2 linked regions of the Nothobranchius furzeri genome follow. The protein of the gene in region 1 binds, or shares a complex with, the protein of each later gene. Links are inferred from orthologs where the notes say so. Each region holds a gene or a part of one and is shown on either strand. Other genes may lie near its edges.

Region 1 (10,833 bases):
AGGTCAGGAGAGTTGGCAGGCCAGTTGAGCACAGTAATACCATGGTCAGTAAACCATTTACCAGTGGTTTTGGCACTGTGAGCAGGTGCCAGGTCGTGCTGAAAAAAGAAATCTTCATCTCCATAAAGCTTTTCAGCAGATGGAAGCATGAAGTGCTCCAAAATCTCCTGATAGCTGGCTGCCTTGACCCTGCCCTTGATAAAACACAGTGGACCAACACCAGCAGCTGACATGGCACCCCAGACCATCACTGACTGTGGGTACTTGACACTGGACTTCAGGCATTTTGGCATTTCCCTCTGCCCAGTCTTCCTCCAGACTCTGGCACCTTGATTTCCGAATGGCATGCAAAATTTGCTTTCATCCGAAAAAAGTACTTTGGACAACAATCCAAGTAGTAAACAGTCCAGTGCTGCTTCTCTGTAGCAGTTCCAGGTCAGGCGCTTCTGCCGCTGTTTCTGGTTCAAAAGTGGCTTGGCCTGGGGAATGCGACACCTGTAGCCCATTTCCAGCACACGCCTGTACACGGTGGCTCTGGATGTTTCTACTCCAGACTCAGTCCACTGCTCCCGCAGGTCCCCCAGGATCTGGAATCGGTCCTTCTCCACAATCTTCCTCAGGATCCGGTCACCTCTTCTGGTTTTGCAGCGTTTTCTGCCACACTTTTTCCTTCCCACTGAGGTGCCTTGATACAGCACTCTGGGAACAGCCTATTCATTCAGAAATTTCTTTCTGTGTCTTACCCTCTTGCTTGAGGGTGTCAATGATGGCCTTCTGGACAGTAGTCAGGTCAGCAGTCTTACCCATGATTGAAGTTTTGAGTAATGAACCAGGCTGGGAGTTTTTAAAAGCCTCAGGAATCTTTTGCTGGTGTTTAGAGTTAATTAGTTGATTCAGATGATTAGGCTAATAGCTCGTTTAGAGAACCTTTTCATGATATGCTAATTTTTTGAGATAGGAATTTTGGGTTTTCATGAGCTGTATGCCAAAATCATCAATATTAGAAACAATAAAAGGCTTGAACTACTTCAGCAGTGTGTAATGAATCTAATATATATGAAAGTCTAATGGTTATCAGTACATTACAGACAATAATGAACTTTATCACAATATGAAGATTTTTTGAGAAGGACCTGAATGCTTCAAAATATCCTTTTTAACTTCTTCACTCAACAATAATCTGTTAAAATAAAATAAAAAGGATCAATTTTGTAATTTTGTAAAAAAAAAAAATCCATCTGATTGAATCTCAATAAGCCCTGATTTCCCCTCCCCTGACTGTTCTGTATCGTTCTGCAGCATCTCACCTTTTCCCAAACGAGGCTGGTTCCTTTCCGGTGAACAGCTGATTCGTTGTTATAGTTGATGTCAAACTCTGAGAACAGGATCTCGTTTTTATCCGACGCCAACGTTCCCTAAAAACAAAACAGAAGCCAATGTAAGTGGAAGGTATCACCTTGGTGACCACAAAAGGCCCGAAAAGAGTTCAGGTTAAAGCTTCACTACATCACTCATTTCTCCAAACAGATCACCATCAGAACAGCGCCACCAACTGGTCGTGGAGAGTTTTATTCCCTCCAGGACGGTTTGGAGAGTTTCCTGAACCACTAATGACTGGAGATGTCCGAACATGCAGCCAGGATAAACATTCCCTCTGCTGCTGTCCTGCCAGGAGAACAGCTGCTCTGGCAGCGGACACAAATACCTCCTCCTTGTGCAGCTGCATCTATCATTCAGATGAGAATAAAATCCCCTTCTATTTAAATTCACAGGAAGTAAAGACAATCTGCCTGAAAGAAGGTTAAAGTGTTCACGAAAACTTATTAAATAGTAAAGTTTGGTCACTTTCTAACAAAATGACCAAGCTGACTATTAAGCTGCACTTTTGTAGCCGAGACTGAATATCCTACTGACTATGGCTGCACCGCATACTACAGATCAGAGGAATGTAGAACATGTATTCCTTATGTTTTGTTGAGTGATGGATTTTATTTAATGTCCCAAGTTAGAGGACAATAAACTTTAAACAAGAAGAAGACAACGGGGAAAAAGAAGGGAAGACATTAGTTTAATACTTGAGTGCTCTCACCTTTAAGCGATCATCTGCCTGGGCGGTAGTGAGTCCTCCCTTTTGAATCAACGCCCAAAACACCGTGTTGTATAAGTTATTGATGTGACCTAAAACATACAGAACGAGTTTAGATCACCCGTTTGTAACATCCAAGCAGAATTCAGGACATCACGTTTCCTTACAATCCGCTTGCCTCCAGCAAAGATAGTCTCTAAGGTTACGGTTGCTAGGATACAGGACCACACGCCCATCAAAGCTCGGGGGACACAAGAGGGGCTGTTCTCCGAAAAACTCCTTCCAGTAAAACACATATGATGAGGAGAACTGGGAGGCCACATGGGTCATGAGCTTGCTGCAAGAAAAACAAGAGAAAAAATAAGTAAGTCCCTTCTATGTTTCTAAGAAAGCAACAATAGGCTGATCAGATCCAAACCAACAAACGTGGGACAGGCACATCATTAATAGGCCTCATTATTGCACTTCTTCACATGGAATGGAAGAAAAAAACATCCACAAAGTTTCTGCCAGAGTTCAGGTCAGCGTTGGGAGGAGAGATCTTATTTCTTCAGTTTTAGCAACACTCGAATGGCTTCCTGGGAAACTCATTAAGCTCTAAAAGACCAAGCTCCACCAGGAACCAGTCTCAGACAGCAGGTTTACATGTGGCTCCTAGAGCTTCAAACGGTACAACAGAGACAAAGATTCCTGTTTTCAGGCTCTTGTGGATCCAGCTTCTAGTTTCCGTCTGTGAGTCACACACCCTCTCTCCTCTGATCATTCTGATAGCTGGTTGGGTTGTCCAACTCTTCCGTGCTTGTCCGTTTCCCTTGCCTGTCCTCTCAGATCCCAGTTTTTCCCCGTTGACCCAAAATGACAATTCAACAGGAGTACCTGGCTCTCCTCTTGAACCAGGTGGAGCTCCTTTTGAAAACAAAGCTGAACTCATCACTTTGACCATAAGCAATGACGATGTCCTCCAGTTCCTCCATGACAGAGCGAGCACTCCTGGTCATCAGCCCCAGAGCCCTGTCATCATTGGGCTTAGTAAACGCGTGCTGCTCTGAAAACCTGAACCACATTAAAATACAGGGAAAGGGTCAACACAGAGTACTGACTCCTACCGTCACGTCTCTGGGATGAAGAGAAAGCTCACCTGTGGAAGTTGCGTCCGTCCAGTCTGACAACGATGTAGCAGTTCCGCAGACAGGTGTCATCCGTTTCAAAGCTGCGGACGTACTCAAACTTGCTCTTAGCCATGATGCTGGATCGGGCGAAAGAACGAGAAATGGATGAGACAAACCAGGTCCTACCCCCTGCACCAAGTCCGGATAGTCTTCTGGTCAGCATTAAGGAGCTCCCGAGAACTAGAAAACATCAGGCACACACAGTGACACAAGGCAATAAAATACAACCGAAACGGGGTTGATTAGAATGAATATTCTGCTACATTGAAAGAGCTAGCTTGTATTTATTCATGAACAGTATCAAGTTAGCATTTAAAACGCGTTGGTTATTGTTTATTTTGTTACAGAAATGCTGTTTTAAAGAAATAATATCATAAAGTTACGTAAAAACCTTTTATTTTACTCACGTTGGTTTGTGTACAGTCCGTTCATTAACTTCGTCGTAGTTCCTCAACCGTCACATTGGTTCCGGGCATTTTGTTTTTCCTTTTTTAAGCAAAACTAAAAAGTTCTCCTTAGTTCTCATTATAAAATGTTAATAAATTACAATTGGTTGATATTTTGTTAATTAATGTATATTAATGTGGAATCCTAAAGAAATTCTCGCAAAGATCCTTTCCGGGATTGTTGTACTTTAGCGCCATCCAGTGTTTAAAAGTTAGCATTTACCCGTAAATGTTTAAAATGGACATATAAAGCTTGGAAAATAATGTCAAAATATTACAGAAAATAAATGTAAATACAACACATTACATTTTTAGGAGGGCTGTGTTTTCTAATGAATAAATACAATTAGTGTTGATAGGTGTTGTGTTGAAATAAAGTCCCCCTGACCTCAAGCACCTTAGCTGTTAATAAAGTGGCTGAAAGGGAAAAAGTGTTTTGTAAATTTACTTGAAATGTTACAAACGCAACATTTTAAAAAGTTAACTCTTTATATTTATATTGCATATATTTAAATTTTTGAATGACTTTGTTCGTCATAAGTTGTGCAGCTGTTAAACATGTCCGGCGTTGTTCCCACAACAAAATGATATAGAACACTCATTTGGAGACTGATATGGTTATACCGTGTAGTTTGTGTGGCTGTGATTACATATTTTTTGTAAACACTAGTTTGCGATAAAAGACGTAAAACTGAACGAAGGGCGATTTCGTCGGATGGCACACCTTTTTAGGCACAACACCGGCAACAACTTTCCCAGGATTCCTCGCTTCCCCACGACCCGCTCTTTGGTCGTTTCAAACATGGAGGAAAGCGAACAGAAGAAGTCAGACAGCAGGGTGTCCGCAGCAGAGCCCAAGCCCGCGGCCGGCGCTAACGACGAGGACGACGCCGCAGAAAAAACAAACGTTTGTTCTGAAAAGTTTGACCCGCTGCAGGCCTTGTACTCTCCGTCCGCGGCACCTCTTCCCTTCCCAAACATCAAGTGCTTCAACAATGTGGCAGAGTACGAGAGTTTTCTGAAGGGTGGCCGGGGCCGAGCCAAACCGGAGAACGTGGAGAAGAGGCAGCGAAAGGCGATGAAAGGGGTGGCGGACCCGGAGCGGATCGAAAGGCTGAAGATGCTGATGGTGAACAACCCGGTGTCGGACCCGGAGGAGGGGGGCAGTGGCGGCCAGAGCCGGAAGAAGAGGAGGCAGAAGCCCCAGAAGAATGTCCTGACACGGATGCCCCGTAGGTTCATTTAAAGGCATGTCAGATAACGCAGCACCACCTCTATACCAGCCAGTTAACGAGCTATCCTGTTTAAATTACCCCGATGTAGGTCAAAACACAGTCACACTCGTAGTTATATACGGGCCAATTTTCACAATAAAAGCAGAAATATGTCGGTATTTCTATCATTTATATCTATACTCTCTAGTTTTGTAAGCGTGCCTTCACCCTGTCCTACAGAAATCTGCGTGTGCTTCAGCTGCATGATTGACGAGCTGGGCTAGGTGCAGCTGCATAACCTGCTTGTCATGTATCTTCAGTGTGTAAGGGCAGTCCTCTGGGAGAGCTGTACCGCTGCGTGGAGGAAAGGATAAGGGTCAAAGTTCACATCAGGACCTTTAAAGGACTTCGGGGAGTGTGCTCAGGCTTTGTTGTGGCCTTCGACAAGTTCTGGAACATGGTGAGCGGTCCCACTCCAGTCTTTGTGCTGTTTCCATGTTAGTCATTCATCGCTGGATGCTGCTTGTTGTTGGCAGGCGATGGTGGATGTAGACGAGACGTACAGGGAACCTCTGCTTGGAGAGGCCGTGTACCACGAGAAGGCACTCACAATTTCACGAGTACGTACCAGTTCTCTCTTTCGTTGTTTCATGTATAGCTGAAAATCTACTTGCAGAAGTTTTACAGTATTTGCATATTGAATTATAATGTGACAGAATGAGATTTTCTAATCTGGGAAAGACGGGACTTGTGAGCGCCTCAAACAGGACGGGGAGAAGGGAACAGGGAACGTTGCGCTTTAACCTGAATGACCTCAGGCTCTTCAGAATCCAGCGCTGCACAAAGATCAGAACCACAGAGGCTTAGCACATGGGTTGTGTAGAAATGTTTTGGTTACATAAAAGAAGAAGATGCTGCGTGTTGTGCAGAACCTGCCTTGCTACTGTTGCTACCCGGTGAGGTGACGCCACAGACCTTTACCTAAACAAACATCACACCACCAGCTGCCAGCGCTTCAGCTACCAGTAAACAAACTCTCAGGTGACCGAGCTGCATAACAATAATTTATGCATAATAAATCTGATATGGTTTATAATACATTGATTTATTTTTTGCTTGCTTTAGTTGAAAAATGAGAGAAAAACAACTTGAGGAAGGAATAATGAATTAAATCGGAAATAGATAATTTCCCTAAGTCGTTCAGCCCTGGTGTACACGCCTGGAAACGAGTCTAAATTAGGCATTTTGGTAAAAATCTGGAGATAAAAATGAGTGATGCACTGATATGAAATCTTTGGGCCAATACCGGTGATATTAATATCACCGTTTCAGTGCATAAGCGATATTTGCTGATACCGGTAAGCTGACATTAATGCTTCTAAAATCAGCAAATTCTGTATAGAATGAAGATGACTGAAGCTTAATTTACATTATTGTGTACACACACCGCATATTTATGATTCTGAGACGATTACATCACTGTCACATGACCAAACGAATACAACCCCCCCCCTGAAACAGATAACCAAATGGAAAAAATATTGGTTGTTTATGTCGACCCGGTTCTATTTATCGGACCGACGTGTTAAGAAATGACACGTGACATATCGTCCACCAGAAAAATGTTGGGTACATTTATGCAGCCCTTATAAGGACGTTCTGCTCACCTGTTCACCGCTCAGACATCAGGTCCTGAGCTCGGATCGCCCCAGATGTCCTCCAGTCATGGAGTCCGTCTTCCTGATCCTTTCCCCCTGGAACACCGAGTCGGAATACGCCTTGGGTTGTCAGGTGTTACCTCCCAGTGTCGGCACCGTTTGGGTCTGACCCAAGTTTAAAAAGTCCTCCGTCAGATCTGTGCCTCTTCTAGTGTCCGTATGATTTATAGCTGCACTGTTAGATGATGAGTAGAAACGCGACTGAAACCACGCAGCAGTAGTTTACAGGCACAACGCGCCTACCCACACGGGCACACCTGGGTGAGTTGGTGATTGGCCGCTCTGCAACTCAAAAATCCAATTGTGTGTTTTATGGTTCAGGAAGGGACCCTCGCTAAGCACTGGTTCATTCCAGCAGTAGTCTGTCCCTTTGTGAAGAAGGGTTATAGTCACATCATTAAAAAGTGTTTAGTTTGTGGCGCTCGGTAAGAAAACTGATAATTCACCAGCGTCGGTCCTCAGCGCCCGAACAGCTGCAGCTCTAAATGAATCCATGAAATACCAGAAACATGGTTTTAAAGCTGAAGCAGGAGCTGAAACACCGATGAGCCTGGCTAAGAGGTGCAACATAAAGGCCTTGGCTTCAAAACAAACATGACTGAATGTGCATGAAACTAGGGATGCAACAATACCACTTTTTTCCAAATCGATACGATACCGATACTTGGATCTGAGTACTCGCCGATACCGATTACCAATACCGATACTTCTACCTTACAAAAAAATGCAATGATTTGGAATACAGATTTTATTTTCCTCTCTGCACAGGAAAAGACTGTGAGGTAGATAAAAAGTAAAATATATGAATGGAAATCATCACAAAACTAAAACATTAGGTGAACAGAAATGACAAGTTACAGTGAAGCCATTTTCAAGCAACTGCATTGGTATCGGTTCCTGGTATCGGTTAACTTTTACCGATACAGGTATTGGCATCGTATCGGTGCATCCCTACATGAAACACACCAACAAATGCTTTGGAGCTAAGAAACCGTTTCCTTCTGAGTCCGAGTGGCTTCAGGATGTGATCTTATGAAAGCACCGTAGTACTTTTGGTCTTTTAGGTCCTACTCTTCATCGTTAACATAATCTTTGTGCAGCTCTTTGAGAAGCTGAGCCTGCAGCGGGACTCGGGAGCCAACGAGGCCGCCAAGAAGCAAGAAACAAGAGAGGAAACCAACAAGCCTCAACCTGCAAATCCCCAAGCTGCTCCGAAGAGCCGCCCTGCTCAGCCTGCTGGTGCGAGAGGGGACGGGACGCCTGAGTCCGAGCAGTCCCGCACGGCGAAGAGCAAACAGGATAAAGATGATGTCTCACAGAAGAGCCATCAGAAGTGCGGGACGGTGCGCACACGCCACATCAGCCAGCTGTTTATCCGCGGTGAGAATGTCATCCTGGTCAACCCGCAGCCCCTCTGACTGAAAATCCTGCTGGATTAAACACAAACGCTTGACTCTTCACCAATGTCCAGATTGAGATGGGCCTGTTATATCATATTGATATGGTGCACCAAAGGAATGATCTCATTTATTGAGGAATAAAACTTCTAGTCTGGTCTGTTTGTAGATTCTTCCCAGTGTGTTCTGCTTGTTGGCCAGCAGGTGGCAGCATAAACACGCCCGTCCAGCTGTGCAGCTACTGTCATCTGGAAGAGCTCCTTGTCCCTTTAAGTTGCTCTTCCCGTTAGTCTGAGCAGGGACGACAGCGCGGTCTCGGCGGGCTTCATAAATGCATTATGAATAATGGAGTTAGTGAAGCTGCAGATTGCAGATGGCACTCAAACGCTGTCATTTGTCTTTACGTCTCAGATTGCTTTTTACTCTTTAATGGGCACATTACCCATAAAAGCACAATTTACTGCATCTCATGGAAGTTGTAAAATGTTTCTCTCCTGAAGGAGGGTGCTTATAAGTGGCACGGAGTGATTGTCACTCGTCTGCTGCTCTGCTCCGGTTCTGGTTCTGGACCGGAGACATCACTGACCCTCTTTTCCATATAGTTTAAGTCACAAGTGGAGCGCGTTTTATCACGAGTTGAACTTTAGCTCATTTACTGTACACACCGCTCGTATATTAGAATATTATTAGTGTAGCCAATTTAACTGTCCTCTCCAGAGAGAGGAAACGGGGTCAAGTGTTTAATGCAAGCTGCGTTTTAGTCGTGTTTGTCACACAAGTGCGCTCAAACAAATCTCCGTCTAATAAAGGGCCACGGCGCTGATGGTAGAGATGACCCAGAATCACATCGTCTTGTGTCCTCCATGTTGCACCAGAAAAATAAACGAGGACAACCTTCTAACGGTGGATTTTAATTGTTGATGAATTACAGGAGTGTGGATATCGTGTGGCCGTCAGGCTCAAGCGGTGCTATTTAAACACACTTTGCGTTGCTCTCATTGGTCGTTTAGGCTACCTGTGCTGTAGCCTGCTTGGGAATAAGTCTCCCGATGCACTTGGCTTTATTCCCACCAAGCAACAAAGTTAAAGTCACATTAAGTAAAATGCAATTTCAGAGCCAAGCGCATCGGTTTTGCTGCTGGAAGCAGTTCTGAATGAGGCTAATGACACAGCACACCAAATAACACACATCATTAACACGTTTAAATCAACTGTTTAATGCTGTCCACGAGGAGTCTGGTTGTGGAAATCAAATCAGAGCGGGAAGAACGTAAAGAAGGTTCTAAAGGGGTTCCTTACGCTAGTGTTCAGTAACAATCCCGTTGGTTTTAAAAAAGGAGCAGAATGATTTAAAGTAAAAAAACATTTCTACTGATATACATTAGAAGAAGAAGAAACAGCAAAGAGATTTTGGTCATTTCAATGCTTCAGACATCAATGCAAGGCTGCTATGTGTTGCTGTGCTCAGCCTGCAGCCCTGAGGGAAGTCCAGTCCTCCTCTCGTCAGTTATTCATCTCAAACGTACAAAAAAATGTCAGGCCGCTACGATTCAGTTCTGATTATCAATCACTCATTAGAAGGGGTGGGAAGCAGTCGTCAGCAGGCACTTGAACCACAAACCTCTGGAGCGCAGCTGAGGAGGGCTCCAGTCATCACGGGCCAACAACCATCAGTACATCTTCATCCAGCCAGCACCACCCAGATGGTAACGGTGTTCTGCACTGATGGTTGCTGTGACAACCATACAAGTGTGCAGCACCAGTGAGGATGGAAGGCACAGAGAAGATGCAACATTGAACACGTGTGAACTTTATAACAGTCACAGATCAAACCTGAGGTGTCGCCACGGGCTTGAACCGCTCGGGAAGAAAACAGGTGCTTGGGATAAACAGCACAGTCACATGCATGTGATGTCTGCAGGCAGCACACACGGCTACGACGGACCTGAGCTGCCTTCAGGTCAGTGAGAGATTTTAGGCACTCTGCTGTAACGTGATCCCTGTATGAGCTTTAACTGATCTCACTAGGATGCACGCCGACTATAATCATCTCCATAAAATATAGATATATCCTAAAAAAGAAAGGCCCACGATTCGTTTAGCTGAAGGAGGAATTCCTTGCATGAATCAACCAGTTTGACAGCAGATAACCGCTCCGTGTGCCGCGTCAGCGCTGCACCTGGACAGTTCACACTCGTGCACAAAGAGAATGAGATGGAACAGCATGCTCTTAGATCTGGACTCATCAGTTTGGTCTGTGTAGTAAAACACTTCTGCTGCCTCTCACAGGAACCTCACAACGTATTACAAGGGCTCAGAATGTCTATTTACATGTCAGAGAAAGATGGGGGGGGGGGGACATAGAGACGTAAATGAATCTTCAGCGTGCACTAGCTAGTTAAAATGGATGATGGTGTTATACAGATGTATGTATTCTCAACAGCAATTATCCAGCTACCTGTAGAAGTTACCTTGATTGAGGTTATAAAGCAAATCCCCGTTTAGTTTCCCTCGGTGGCACTTTCTTCTCCCCGCCCCAGCCCGGCAAACACCAGAGTACGTCCAGCCACCCTTCCACAGCACACGCATCATTGGTTCAGTCAACACACATTCATTTAAATCCACATGACTACATCATTTAAAACAACAGGGAGGTTGCAGGGTGTTGGTGAGACCATCGTGGATGTTATTCAAGTACTCTTTGTTTGGAGCTCATGATGATCCATCAACTATGGACGGCGAGAGGCTGCCACCACTTCTGATTACATTTTCTGTTTCATCATTTTCCAAAGTTGCCAAAGTC
Region 2 (10,845 bases), on another chromosome or scaffold:
ACACATGAAGAAGAAAAAGACAAAAATAAACACGTACAGGAAACCAACACAAGGACCAACACTTATGGACATCAGAACATCCCATCACACATGAAGTATCAGTTATCAGAACGTTATACCACCGAGCTAACAGAAGAACGAGACCATAAACAAGAGGACCGACTAACCTGCAGATACCAACATGGACCATAACAACCAGTAATAACCCTTCCATAGATCACAGACACACCAGAAAATATCGGAGCAGATATACCCAGATATCAGCAGCAAAAGCCCCATTCCCACCTGTACCGGGTCGGCCCGGGCCGGGTAGCGTAGGTTGTTTACATATCTGGGTGGCCTGGAATTTTCCCGGGCCAACCAAGGCTCATTCTCAGCCCTCTTCCCGAGGGGTACTGCTTCAGGCCGACCAGGGCCAACACGCCCACTGCTGACAAGAAATTCACACCTTCCATTAGAGCAAGCCTCTGATTGGTGGGTAGAGTCAGCCCATTCACACCTTCCATTAGAGCAAGCCTCTGATTGGTGGGTAGAATCAGCCCACATGGGCTTAAGACAAGGATGTGTGGAAACAACCGGGCCCGACTGGGGCTACCCGGCCCGGGCCGACCCGGTACAGATGGGAATGGGGCTTAAATGACGGCGAGTCACATCGATACCATGCAGACAACAGGACATCAGCAGAAAGGGTTAGAGGAATAGCCACATCATGGACTGGGTCAGTACCCGGGTCATAGACACAGAACCATGAACAGAGGCGATGGGACAGTGTCATCAGCAAGGATACGCCGTCCTGTGTCAGAGGAAGTGATGTCACCAACACCGGCGATCTCTGATGACAGCTAGAGCTACTAAACATGTCAGGTAATCGATTTAACTGTAAGAATAAAAGTCTGGTTCTGACAGAACATGAGGTCCTAATGGAGCTGCAGAACATCAGGCCTGATGTTTCCTAAACAGGAGGCATCCTGACCAGATGTCTGAGCCACCTCAACTGGCTCCTCTCGACGTGGAGGAGCAGCGGGTCTACTCTGAGCCCCTCCTGGGTGATCGAGGTTCTCACCCTGTCGCCGCGATCTCGTTCTCTGTCCCTTCCCAAAGCTCATGACCATAGGTGAGGGTAGGAACGTAGAGCTTCTCCTTCTGGCTCAGCTCACACCGCTCCGATTGGTCGCCTCACACATCGATAAAGCCCACGTGACCGCTGCTGCCGATGAACGCTGACGAGCGGTGGCGCCACCATCTTGGATCAGCCATGTTAATAAATTTATACTAAATCATTCTCATAGACAGCTGAAACAAATGTTCTATGGTTCATATTTATGTCTTTATTTATCCAGATGAGAGGACTCCTTTCCCACGAGGGTCTGGCCCAGAGGCGTGGTTAGCTTTACACCAAAGAACAGGTGAGATGAACCAGATTAACAGACATGAAGACAACGTTCTCATGTAGAACACGTACGAGCAGTCAGAACGGACTGAAACAGTCTTTAGTACTCAGAAGAACACTGATCACAAACTATTGATCACCACGAATTATTGAGGGTAGATAATGGAATGTAGGTAGGGAGCTTCAGTGGTTCTGCAGCTCATTCCAGTCGTTGGAAGCAGCAAACTGGAATGAGGAGCGGCCAAAGGAGGTGCCAGCTTTGGGAGTAACCGTAGAGATGAGGTTACTGGAACGTAAACGGTGCTGGTTGTTGGAAGTGATGATGATGAGAGAAGATATGACGGGTTAGGGTAACCCTAACCACAACCAGTGTAACATCCTGCAGGAATGGAGCGAAGGCCAGTTAACGAGTGAGTACAGATCACATGATGAGTAGTGAAAGGGGCACCAGTGACCAAACGGGGTGCTGAGTGATGAATAATCGAGTTTATGAAGACGTGCTTTGAGAAGCAGCCACATACATATAGTGTCAATATAATTCAGAGAGAGGGTGAGAGAACCACTAGAACAACGTCTGGATGACAAGAACAGCTGGTGATGTTCTGGTTCGGTGTGTGTGTGTCCCTTTCTGCAGACCTAGAAGCTTCTTCTTCATCCTTTCCTTCTCGTGAACTCTCCCCATCTCTTCCATCCCCGTTGGGATTACAAACCACCAAAAGCATCTCTAATACCAGGTGGACTACTCTCTACCTGAGAGTCGGACTGTTCTTGGTACCCAGACATCAGCTCTGGCTGCTTTACAGCAGGACAGGACGCGGGGAGAGAGAGAGCTCGTTTTAGTTGTTTTGTTTTCATTCATCTGTTTTTAACCCTAACTGAAGCGTTCCGTGAGCTGAAACCCCTGAAAGAGGACTGATGCAGAACTTTTATCTGGAGCTCCTCTTCTGCAGTTAGAGGTGCGATCATCTCTCCAGAACCACCAACGTAACAAACATCACGTCTGACGGCCGTGGCGTCAGCATCAGTGCTGCACCTCTGTGTTTAGTCTGGTCCTCTTAGGCCGGGCTCACCAGCCACAGCCTCCTGTGAAACAATAGAAACACATTTAATTGGGGCAGCAGCAGCTCAGCAGGTGGAGCGGGTTGTCCAGTAATCGGAAGGTTGCAGGTTCGATCCCGGCTCCGGACAGAGAAGTCTGCTGTTGTGTCCTTGGGCAAGACACTTAACGCACGTTGCCTGCTGGTGGTGGTCGGAGGGACCGGTGGCGCCTGTGCTCGGCAGCCTCGCCTCCGTCAGTGCGCCCCAGGGCAGCTGTGGCTACATGGTAGCTCATCCCCACCAGTGTGTGAATGTGTGTGTGTGAATGGGTGAATGATACACTGTAGTGTAAAGCGCTCTGGAGTCCTGACTCTGAGAGGCGCTGTATAAGTGCGGGTTATTTATCATTAAAGGTGCATTATGTAGAAAAGAAGTGAACACGACATCCTGTGGGTACTGTAAACAACGCCGGACATTTTTGTCGGCTGTCATCAAATTACAATAGTGGGCGCTGCAGTATCAGCTTACAGGAGACAGGTGTGTGTGTGTGTGTGTGTGTGTGTGGGGGGGGTCATGACATGATGGTTAAATACTCACATCATCAGCTGAGGTTAGGGTCTCTGGTTGAAACAAGCACATCATGTTTATATTAGTGGTTATAGTACACACCTGTGGCTCTCAGCTGACATCAGTGGCCCCTGCTGCGGTGAAAACTCTGGGACACCCAGGTATGATCCTCACTGCGGTGACTGAAATACATGAGTGGGTGAGAAATGAGTTCAGGACGAGGTGTGTGGGGAAAGTATTGCACTGTGCCTCGTGACCGATAGCAGGATGTGTGCGTGTACGGATGCTGATGGCTTACTCTCTGAAGGAGAAGCAGGATCTCTGACAGCCCAGCTCTGACCAGCTGCAGGAAGCCTCACACCTTTTGTGGAAAGCTACAAAACACAACATGAGATTAGCAGATTAGCGTCTACATGTTGTACAAGAGGTCAACGCTAGTTTCTCGTGTTGTTCCTGCTCTTCGGTTTACTTATGCCTTAAATATTCTTACAATCTGTCTTTAACCTAAAACTGCATTTCTGATGATAATCAACCAAAACTCTCCCAAGGGTGGAACCAGAAAACGACTCTTCAGCTTGTTAGCATGTTAGCTAACTGTCCAGCCAGAGAACTGGGATGTATCTGCTACAGGAAGTTCTGTTTGGGTTCTACAGCAGCGTTCTTGTTTCAGCTGTAATACAAGTGGGTGTTTAGGAATAAATGATGAATAACGTCTCATTTAGCTTCACTGTCAGCAGTTAGCGTTAGCGGGCTAGGAGGTGCTGCTGGTGCACACAAACACACAACAGCAAAGTTAGAGTTACTAAATACAAACAACAAACAGGCTCAAACTTACTCGTTAAGAGTAATCCCGAGCTCTGGTCTCCAGAGTCTGCCGATTAGAGCGGGAATAATCCCACAGAGCTCAAGCACGCGGTCACTGCTGCTGCTATGGTTCGTGTCTGCCACAAGCTCCACCCATCTAAGATGGCGACCGCATTTCCTGCACCTGAGCGGCCAACAGAGCTCTAAATAAATATATCTGTGGCTTGCCCTACTCTGATTGCTCTGTGATCATTTGCTCTAGTCTGATTGATTTCTCTGTGATCATCAGAATCTGACTTTGGCCTCGTTGGCTGAAGAGGAGCAATCCAGAAAGAAAAGGACCGTTTCTATGGCAACCCCAGATAAAAATACGGCGCTTCACAAAAACAAAAAAATTAAAGATAAAAAGATTTTAAAAAAGTTTAAAATAAGAAAAAAAAAATCGATATAAAATGTAAGTAAAGGGAGAGAAAATGAAAGGAGAGGGACACCGGGGGATCTGGGAAAGGTGGAGCAAGAGCAGAACCAGGAGAGGGAGGTCCCACCAAACCCCAACAGCTGAGTTTAAAGGAGACCACTGAGTCCACTGGTCTCAGGCTCGGGGGGAGAGCTCCAGAGTCTGGGGACCACAGCAGCACCTCTGAACTTTAGCCTGGTGCTGCACAGCCAGTACAACCGGATCTGTTGGGTCAGGGCAGCAACAGAACCAACAGAGTGGTGTTTAGTCCCAGTTCTGATTCTGACCAGATTTAGACCCAAACTGGTTCTGAACCTAAGAGGATCCACATTCCTCCTGAGTTCTGCAGAATGGAGTTTTGATCCAGCAGAACCACCAAGGTACGTGCTGTTATCATGCTGCTGAAGCTCACAAAAGGCTCTTTGGACCAGAACCTTTCTCCTGACTCACCTCGGTTCTGATGAAGGTTTAATCGGCGCTCCTCGTCTCTGGCCACTCATCCCTCCAGTGGCTCCACAGAACCGAATCCTGCCTGGGAACTCCAGAAAGGACCATCTGGCTCTGACCCAGGTCCACTGCTCAGCCCGCAGGGTTCTGGAGAGTTCTGGTGGGCGGAGCAGGAAACAACTGGGCGGCTGCAGCCGAGATGAGCAGGAATGTCTGGGGGGGGGGGGGGGGGGGGGTGTCTCCATCTCACAGCTGACTCTGTTACGCTGCAGGTTCTGGTCTCTCTAGACCTGGACCTGTGGTAATGATGTGGTCAGGTTCTGACTCAGGCTGAATCGGATCCAAGTGGTTTTCCTGGTTCGTATCCATCCTCCTGCTGGAATAAAAATTCCCAGCAGCCTTCGTGTTCCAGAGGAACGCAGCTACTCCCAAACATGGTCTGGCCCTCCACCAATCAGAGACGGGCTGGAGACCCGCGGCTCCTGGAACTGCAGGGAGCTCAGAACAAGCATCCCGACCCGGCGCTGGAAGTCCCATCTGCATCAACCCAGAACCAGGACCACGACTAAAGTTCTGGTCAGACTGGGCCTCAGACAGGCTGCTGGTACCAGAGACAGAAGAGTCTCTCGTGTACCGCAGTGGGTCAGAACCGCCCATCAGCTGATCGGAGCTCAGCTCAGGACCTTTCTGAGCGAATAACATGAAAAATGTTTGTTTTTTACTAAAATATCTTCCTTCGGGATCATTTTAGCGTTGCTTCGTCTGGAAAAAGAATCCGAACATGAATTACTTCTGAAGTTTTGTGTTTTTAGTTTTGAACGTTACTCAGACGTCAGTCTTGTTGCCATGCAACAGTCCTCCTTTTGACCGAGGAGCGATGACATCGGGTGTTTACCGTTACCGCGCGAGCGTCACGATGTACCGACAAAGATCGCCCACTCCTGTGCCGAAGCGGTACCGGTCCGATCAGTTCGACTTCTTGGAGAACTCCTTCCTGCCTTCGCTGCCGAAGCTCCGGACTCTGTGGATCTTGTCCAGCTGGTTCTGGATGGTCTTCATCATGTCCACGTCATCTGGGATGTGCACGTAACGCACGTTCCTGCCGGTGATGAACAGGTCCTGCAGCTGGCGGCGCCGTCCCCGCCGGTCCTGGTACAGCACGTCCTTCAGACGGACGTTCATGAAGGCATCCACACTGAGCACACGTCCCTGGGCCGTGGACTCGTCCCTCAGGTCCACCGTGGTCACCCGGCCCTGGAGACCCTGCAGCAGAACCACCAAGCTGTTCTCGGAGATGGTCCGCTCACGAATCGAGTTAACCACTTCACCCGAGGCTGGAGCTCCAGCTGCTTCAGACTCCATGTCCTCTCCACAGGTTCTGGTGCCAGAAACCCGGGCTGCTCAGACCCGGTTCTCCTGACCTGAAACCAGAAGGAAGTTGACTGAAACGGGTCCGTTCATCCCAACAGAACCGAGCCAGACCTCGCCTTTGACCCGTATGATTATGAAGGACTTTCTCTGGCCGGGTTCAGTCCTGTTAGCTGATCCTGTTCTATCAGAGACCTGAACCAGGACCTGTCCCTCTGGTGGTCTCACGGAACCAGAACCGAGCTGTAGCACCTGCTAGCACCTGAGGCTAACACTTTCACTAACAACCGGATCTTTTTCCGGCTTTTCCGCTAAAAAGAGCATAAGCTTCAAACTTGAACCTCGAGACGGGACCAGATTTGGATCCTACCAGATCTCGTGTCTTTAACAGGAATCTCGCGAGACTTAAGTTTTGGGGTTGGCGCGTGCTCAGTGTGTGAAGCTAAAGTTTAGCTAAAGCAGTTTTTACCCGCCGCGGTCAGCATTCTAACGACAGCGGTGCTGATAACGAGGGTCCCGTTAAAATAAACTCGACACATCCGGGGAGATTCAAACTTTCACCAAACAACAACTGTCTGAACTCACCGAACTGCTGCCGCTCCGCGCTGGCTTCCGCTTACGTACGCATTCCATTTAGTGACGTAACTTCCGGATCCGGTTCTGAAAACTCTAAGACGAGTTTTCATTCATAATAAAATATGTTAAACATGTTCAGTCATCAGGAAAGCCAACGTTAAAAAAACAACGTGAACACGACTGCTTTTGAATATGATAACTTTATTTGTTTTTACCAGCGTAGACGACTTTACTTCTGATCGTGTGCGACTGTAGCCAGGGTGAGCCAGAACCAATGGGGTAGCCTCACCTGGCTTCACAGGCCAGGGAGTGTGCCTTGCTCAAGCAGATGACTGCTACACAATGAGCAGGCCTCAAACCTGCAACCCTCCTGTTACAAGGCAGCCACTTACCTCCTCTGCCATTGCCACCCAACGACAGAGCATCATTGTAAATCATGTTAAAACCAGACAACAATACCTTTATGTATTAATTTACCAGACATTTAGAGCTGAACTCTTGGGAATTTTCAGGTAAACAGACACAAAGTGGACGTTTCTGATTCCACGGACTAGATTATAGAGCAGCCTTCCCTTCGTATAAGGACCGGTCCCAGCTTGGAGCATTTTGATCTGGCCTTTATGTCAGACTCAGACATTGTGGTCATTTCTGTAAGATAGGCTTCTATCTTAGCTGATTTTGTTTGTTGCATGTATCCTAATGAAATGTTTTGTTATGATAGCTGTTTTATTGCTTGTGCCTTTGCTACAGCATCTTGGGGATGTACCAGTGCTGTATAGAGAAACGTGAGCTTGAACATCATAGGAAGTTATAAATATTGTCCTTATTTTGTTGACGTCAGACAGTCAGTCTGATGCTGTAATCATGGTATTCAGTCAGAGGTCATCCATCATGGCCAGCAGGTCGGCTCCAGTGCTGCTGCTTTCATCTCCAGGAATTGCTTCTTTGTCTGTGAACTGTCCAGCAATCTGAGCAAGCGTGGAGGTCGTCTCCTCGTCCTGAATCAGACAAATGTTGAAGCAAAAACAAGCTTCAGGGAGGAATGAATGAAAAGTCCCTGAACATACAGATTTAAGCCAAATTTAACAGGTGGAAATGTTCTTTAAATAACAAATGATTAATATCGAGAATTAAGGAAAGCTTGACATGGAGACCTGCCATTTTTCTCAGGGAGCTGGTGTTTATCTTCAGCTTTCTTCAGGAAAAAGACGACACTGGACAGATCTCTTGTCCCTCACTGGGACACACAGAGCCAGCTTAAGCCTAATTTATACGTCTCCATCAGCTCCACCAGGGACAGACACGCACGGACGGAGACATTTTGCCCTCATATGTCTCCGTCTCCTGGGGAGTGTTGCAAAGCAATTCCCTGCCAGGACACCAGAGGGCGTAGTGCTGTTCTGTGGTATCCTGTCATGTATCCGGTCCAAGGTAGTGTGTTTACTATTGTGTTAATGTTTTTTTTTTTTTTGTATTTTAGAGACTTTGTCCCTCATTCTCCTCCACCTCTTCATGCGCTCACCACCTCTAAACCCACATTTCCGTCCACAAATAAAAGCTTGCTGCACATCATTTAACTCCTCCAGTCACGGGGAATCAGACGTTAATATTTGTTGTTTTCAGCGAGGTATTCTTGAAGCTGCTCCATGTCTGCCGCTAGATATCCTCGGCTCTCTTTATGTTTTTGAGGGCTCAATGGCGGTGCTGTAGATGACAGCGGCGTCCTGACCAATCACAAGCTTGCATTCTCCATGTCGACAGAGGGATGTTTAGAAAAGAGAGCTCGACTCCGTCCGTCCTGGTGAGCCTGCTGGAGAGACCTCGCAAGGATGGATAATGGCTCTGTGTGCATCCATCCCGACGCAGATGGAGACGTAAAAGTTAGGCTTTAGTCTCCAGTTAACCTGACATGCATGTTTTTGCTCACTCCACACATGCTGAAGGAGAACATGCTAACTCCACACATGCTAGAGGAGAACACGCTAACTCAACACATGCTAGAGGAGAACACGCTAACTCCACACGTGCATGAGGAGAACACTCTGGAGGAGAACACGCTAACTCCATACATGCTGAAGGAGCACACGCTAACTCCACACATGCTAGAGGAGAACACGCTAACTCCACACATGCTGAAGGAGAACATGCTAACTCCACACATGCTAGAGGAGAACACGCTAACTCCACACATGCTGAAGGAGAACATGCTAACTCCACACATGCTAGAGGAGAACACGCTAACTCCACACGTGCATGAGGAGAACACTCTGGAGGAGAACACGCTAACTCCATACATGCTGAAGGAGAACACGCTAACTCCACACATGCTGAAGGAGAACATGCTAACTCCACACATGCTAGAGGAGAACACGCTAACTCCACACGTGCATGAGGAGAACACTCTGGAGGAGAACACGCTAACTCCACACATGCTAGAGGAGAACATGCCAACTCCACACGTGCATGAGGAGAACACGCTAACTCCACACATGCTAGAGGAGAACATGCCAACTTCACACATGCATGAGGAGAACACGCTGGAGGAGAACATGCCAACTCCACACGTGCACGAGGAGAACGCACTGGAGGAGAACATGCTAACTCCACACATGCCAGAGGATAACACGCTAACTCCACACATGCTAGAGGAGAACACGCTAACTCCACACGTGCATAAGGAGAACATGCTAACTCCACACGTGCATGAGGAGAACACGCTGGAGGAGAACATGCCAACTCCACACGTGCATGAGGAGAACGCGCTGGAGGAGAACATGCCAACTCCACACGTGCATGAGGAAAACACGCTGGAGGAGAACATGCTAACTCCACACGTGCATGAGGAGAACGCGCTGGAGGAGAACATGCCAACTCCACACGTGCATGAGGATAACGCGCTGGAGGAGAACATGCTAACTCCACACATGCTAGAGGATAACACGCTAACTCCACACATGCTAGAGGAGAACACGCTAACTCCACACGTGCATGAGGAGAACATGCCAACTCCACACGTGCATGAGGAGAACGCGCTGGAGGAGAACATGCTAACTCCACACGTGCATGAGGAGAACACGCTAAATGCACACGTGCATGAGGAGAACATGCTAACTCCACACGTGCATGAGGAGAACGTGCTGGAGGAGAACACGCTAACTGCACACGTGCATGAGGAGAACGCGCTAACTGCACACGTGCATGAGGAGAACACGCTAACTCCACACGTGCATGAGGAGAACGTGCTGGAGGAGAACACTCTAACTGCACACGTGCATGAGGAGAACGCGCTGGAGGAGAACACGCTAACTGCACACGTGCATGAGGAGAACGTGCTGGAGGAGAACACGCTAACTCCACACGTGCATGAGGAGAACGCGCTGGAGGAGAACACGCTAACTCCACACGTGCATGAGGAGAATGCGCTGGAGAACACGCTAACTCCACACGTGCATGAGGAGAATGCGCTGGAGGAGAACACGCTAACTCCACACGTGCATGAGGAGAACATGCCAACTCCACACATGCATGAGGAGAACATGCTAACTCCACACGTGCATGAGGAGAACACGCTGAAGGAGAACATGCTAACTCCACACGTGTATGAGGAGAACATGCTAACTCCACACGTGCATGAGGAGAACACGCTAACTCCACACGTGCATGAGGAGAACGCGCTGGAGGAGAACATGCTAACTCCACACGTGCATGAGGAGAACGCGCTGGAGGAGAACACGCTAACTCCACACGTGCATGAGGAGAACATGCCAACTCCACACATGCATGAGGAGAACATGCTAACTCCACACGTGCATAAGGAGAACATGCTGGAGGAGAACATGCTAACTCCACACGTGTATGAGGAGAACATGCTAACTCCACACGTGCATGAGGAGAACATGCTAACTCCACACGTGCATGAGGAGAACACGCTGGAGGAGAACATGCTAACTCCACACGTGCATGAGGAGAACATGCCAACTCCACACGTGCATGAGGAGAACACGCTAACTCCACACGTGCATGAGGAGAACACGCTGGAGGAGAACACGCTAACTGCACACGTGCATGAGGAGAACGCGCTGGAGGAGAACATGCTAACTCCACACGTGCATGAGGATAACACGTTGGAGGAGAACATGCTAACTCTACACGTGCATAAGGAGAACATGCCAACTCCACACGTGCATGAGGAGAACAC

What was found. The genes of interacting proteins can lie anywhere in the genome.
Region 2: lsm11 (region 1) and lsm10 share a complex: the UniProt entries of both Homo sapiens proteins name them as parts of the heptameric ring U7 snRNP complex. The link is inferred for Nothobranchius furzeri from reciprocal best matches to the Homo sapiens genes LSM11 and LSM10.

What each region holds. Positions count from the first base shown.
Region 1 is NC_091742.1:46,325,617-46,336,449, forward strand, and holds lsm11 (U7 snRNA-associated Sm-like protein LSm11), read left to right. Parts: upstream 1-4,229; 5' UTR 4,230-4,416; coding exon 4,417-4,933; intron 4,934-5,235; coding exon 5,236-5,375; intron 5,376-5,451; coding exon 5,452-5,535; intron 5,536-7,733; coding exon 7,734-8,051; 3' UTR 8,052-8,188; downstream 8,189-10,833. Other genes in the region: thg1l (probable tRNA(His) guanylyltransferase), read right to left, coding at 1,308-1,415, 2,090-2,178, 2,254-2,423, 2,963-3,139, 3,225-3,435, 3,663-3,687; clint1a (clathrin interactor 1a), read right to left, coding at 10,810-10,833. UniProt on the Homo sapiens protein: Component of the U7 snRNP complex that is involved in the histone 3'-end pre-mRNA processing. Increases U7 snRNA levels but not histone 3'-end pre-mRNA processing activity, when overexpressed. Required for cell cycle progression from G1 to S phases.
Region 2 is NC_091759.1:27,045,309-27,056,153, reverse strand, and holds lsm10 (U7 snRNA-associated Sm-like protein LSm10), read right to left. Parts: upstream 6,722-10,845; 5' UTR 6,657-6,721; intron 6,200-6,656; exon of another isoform or gene 6,125-6,199; 5' UTR 6,066-6,124; coding exon 5,670-6,065; 3' UTR 5,599-5,669; intron 4,844-5,598; exon of another isoform or gene 4,707-4,843; intron 3,370-4,706; 3' UTR 3,294-3,369; downstream 1-3,293. Other genes in the region: protein OSCP1, read right to left, coding at 7,523-7,645. UniProt on the Homo sapiens protein: Appears to function in the U7 snRNP complex that is involved in histone 3'-end processing. Increases U7 snRNA levels but not histone 3'-end pre-mRNA processing activity, when overexpressed. Required for cell cycle progression from G1 to S phases.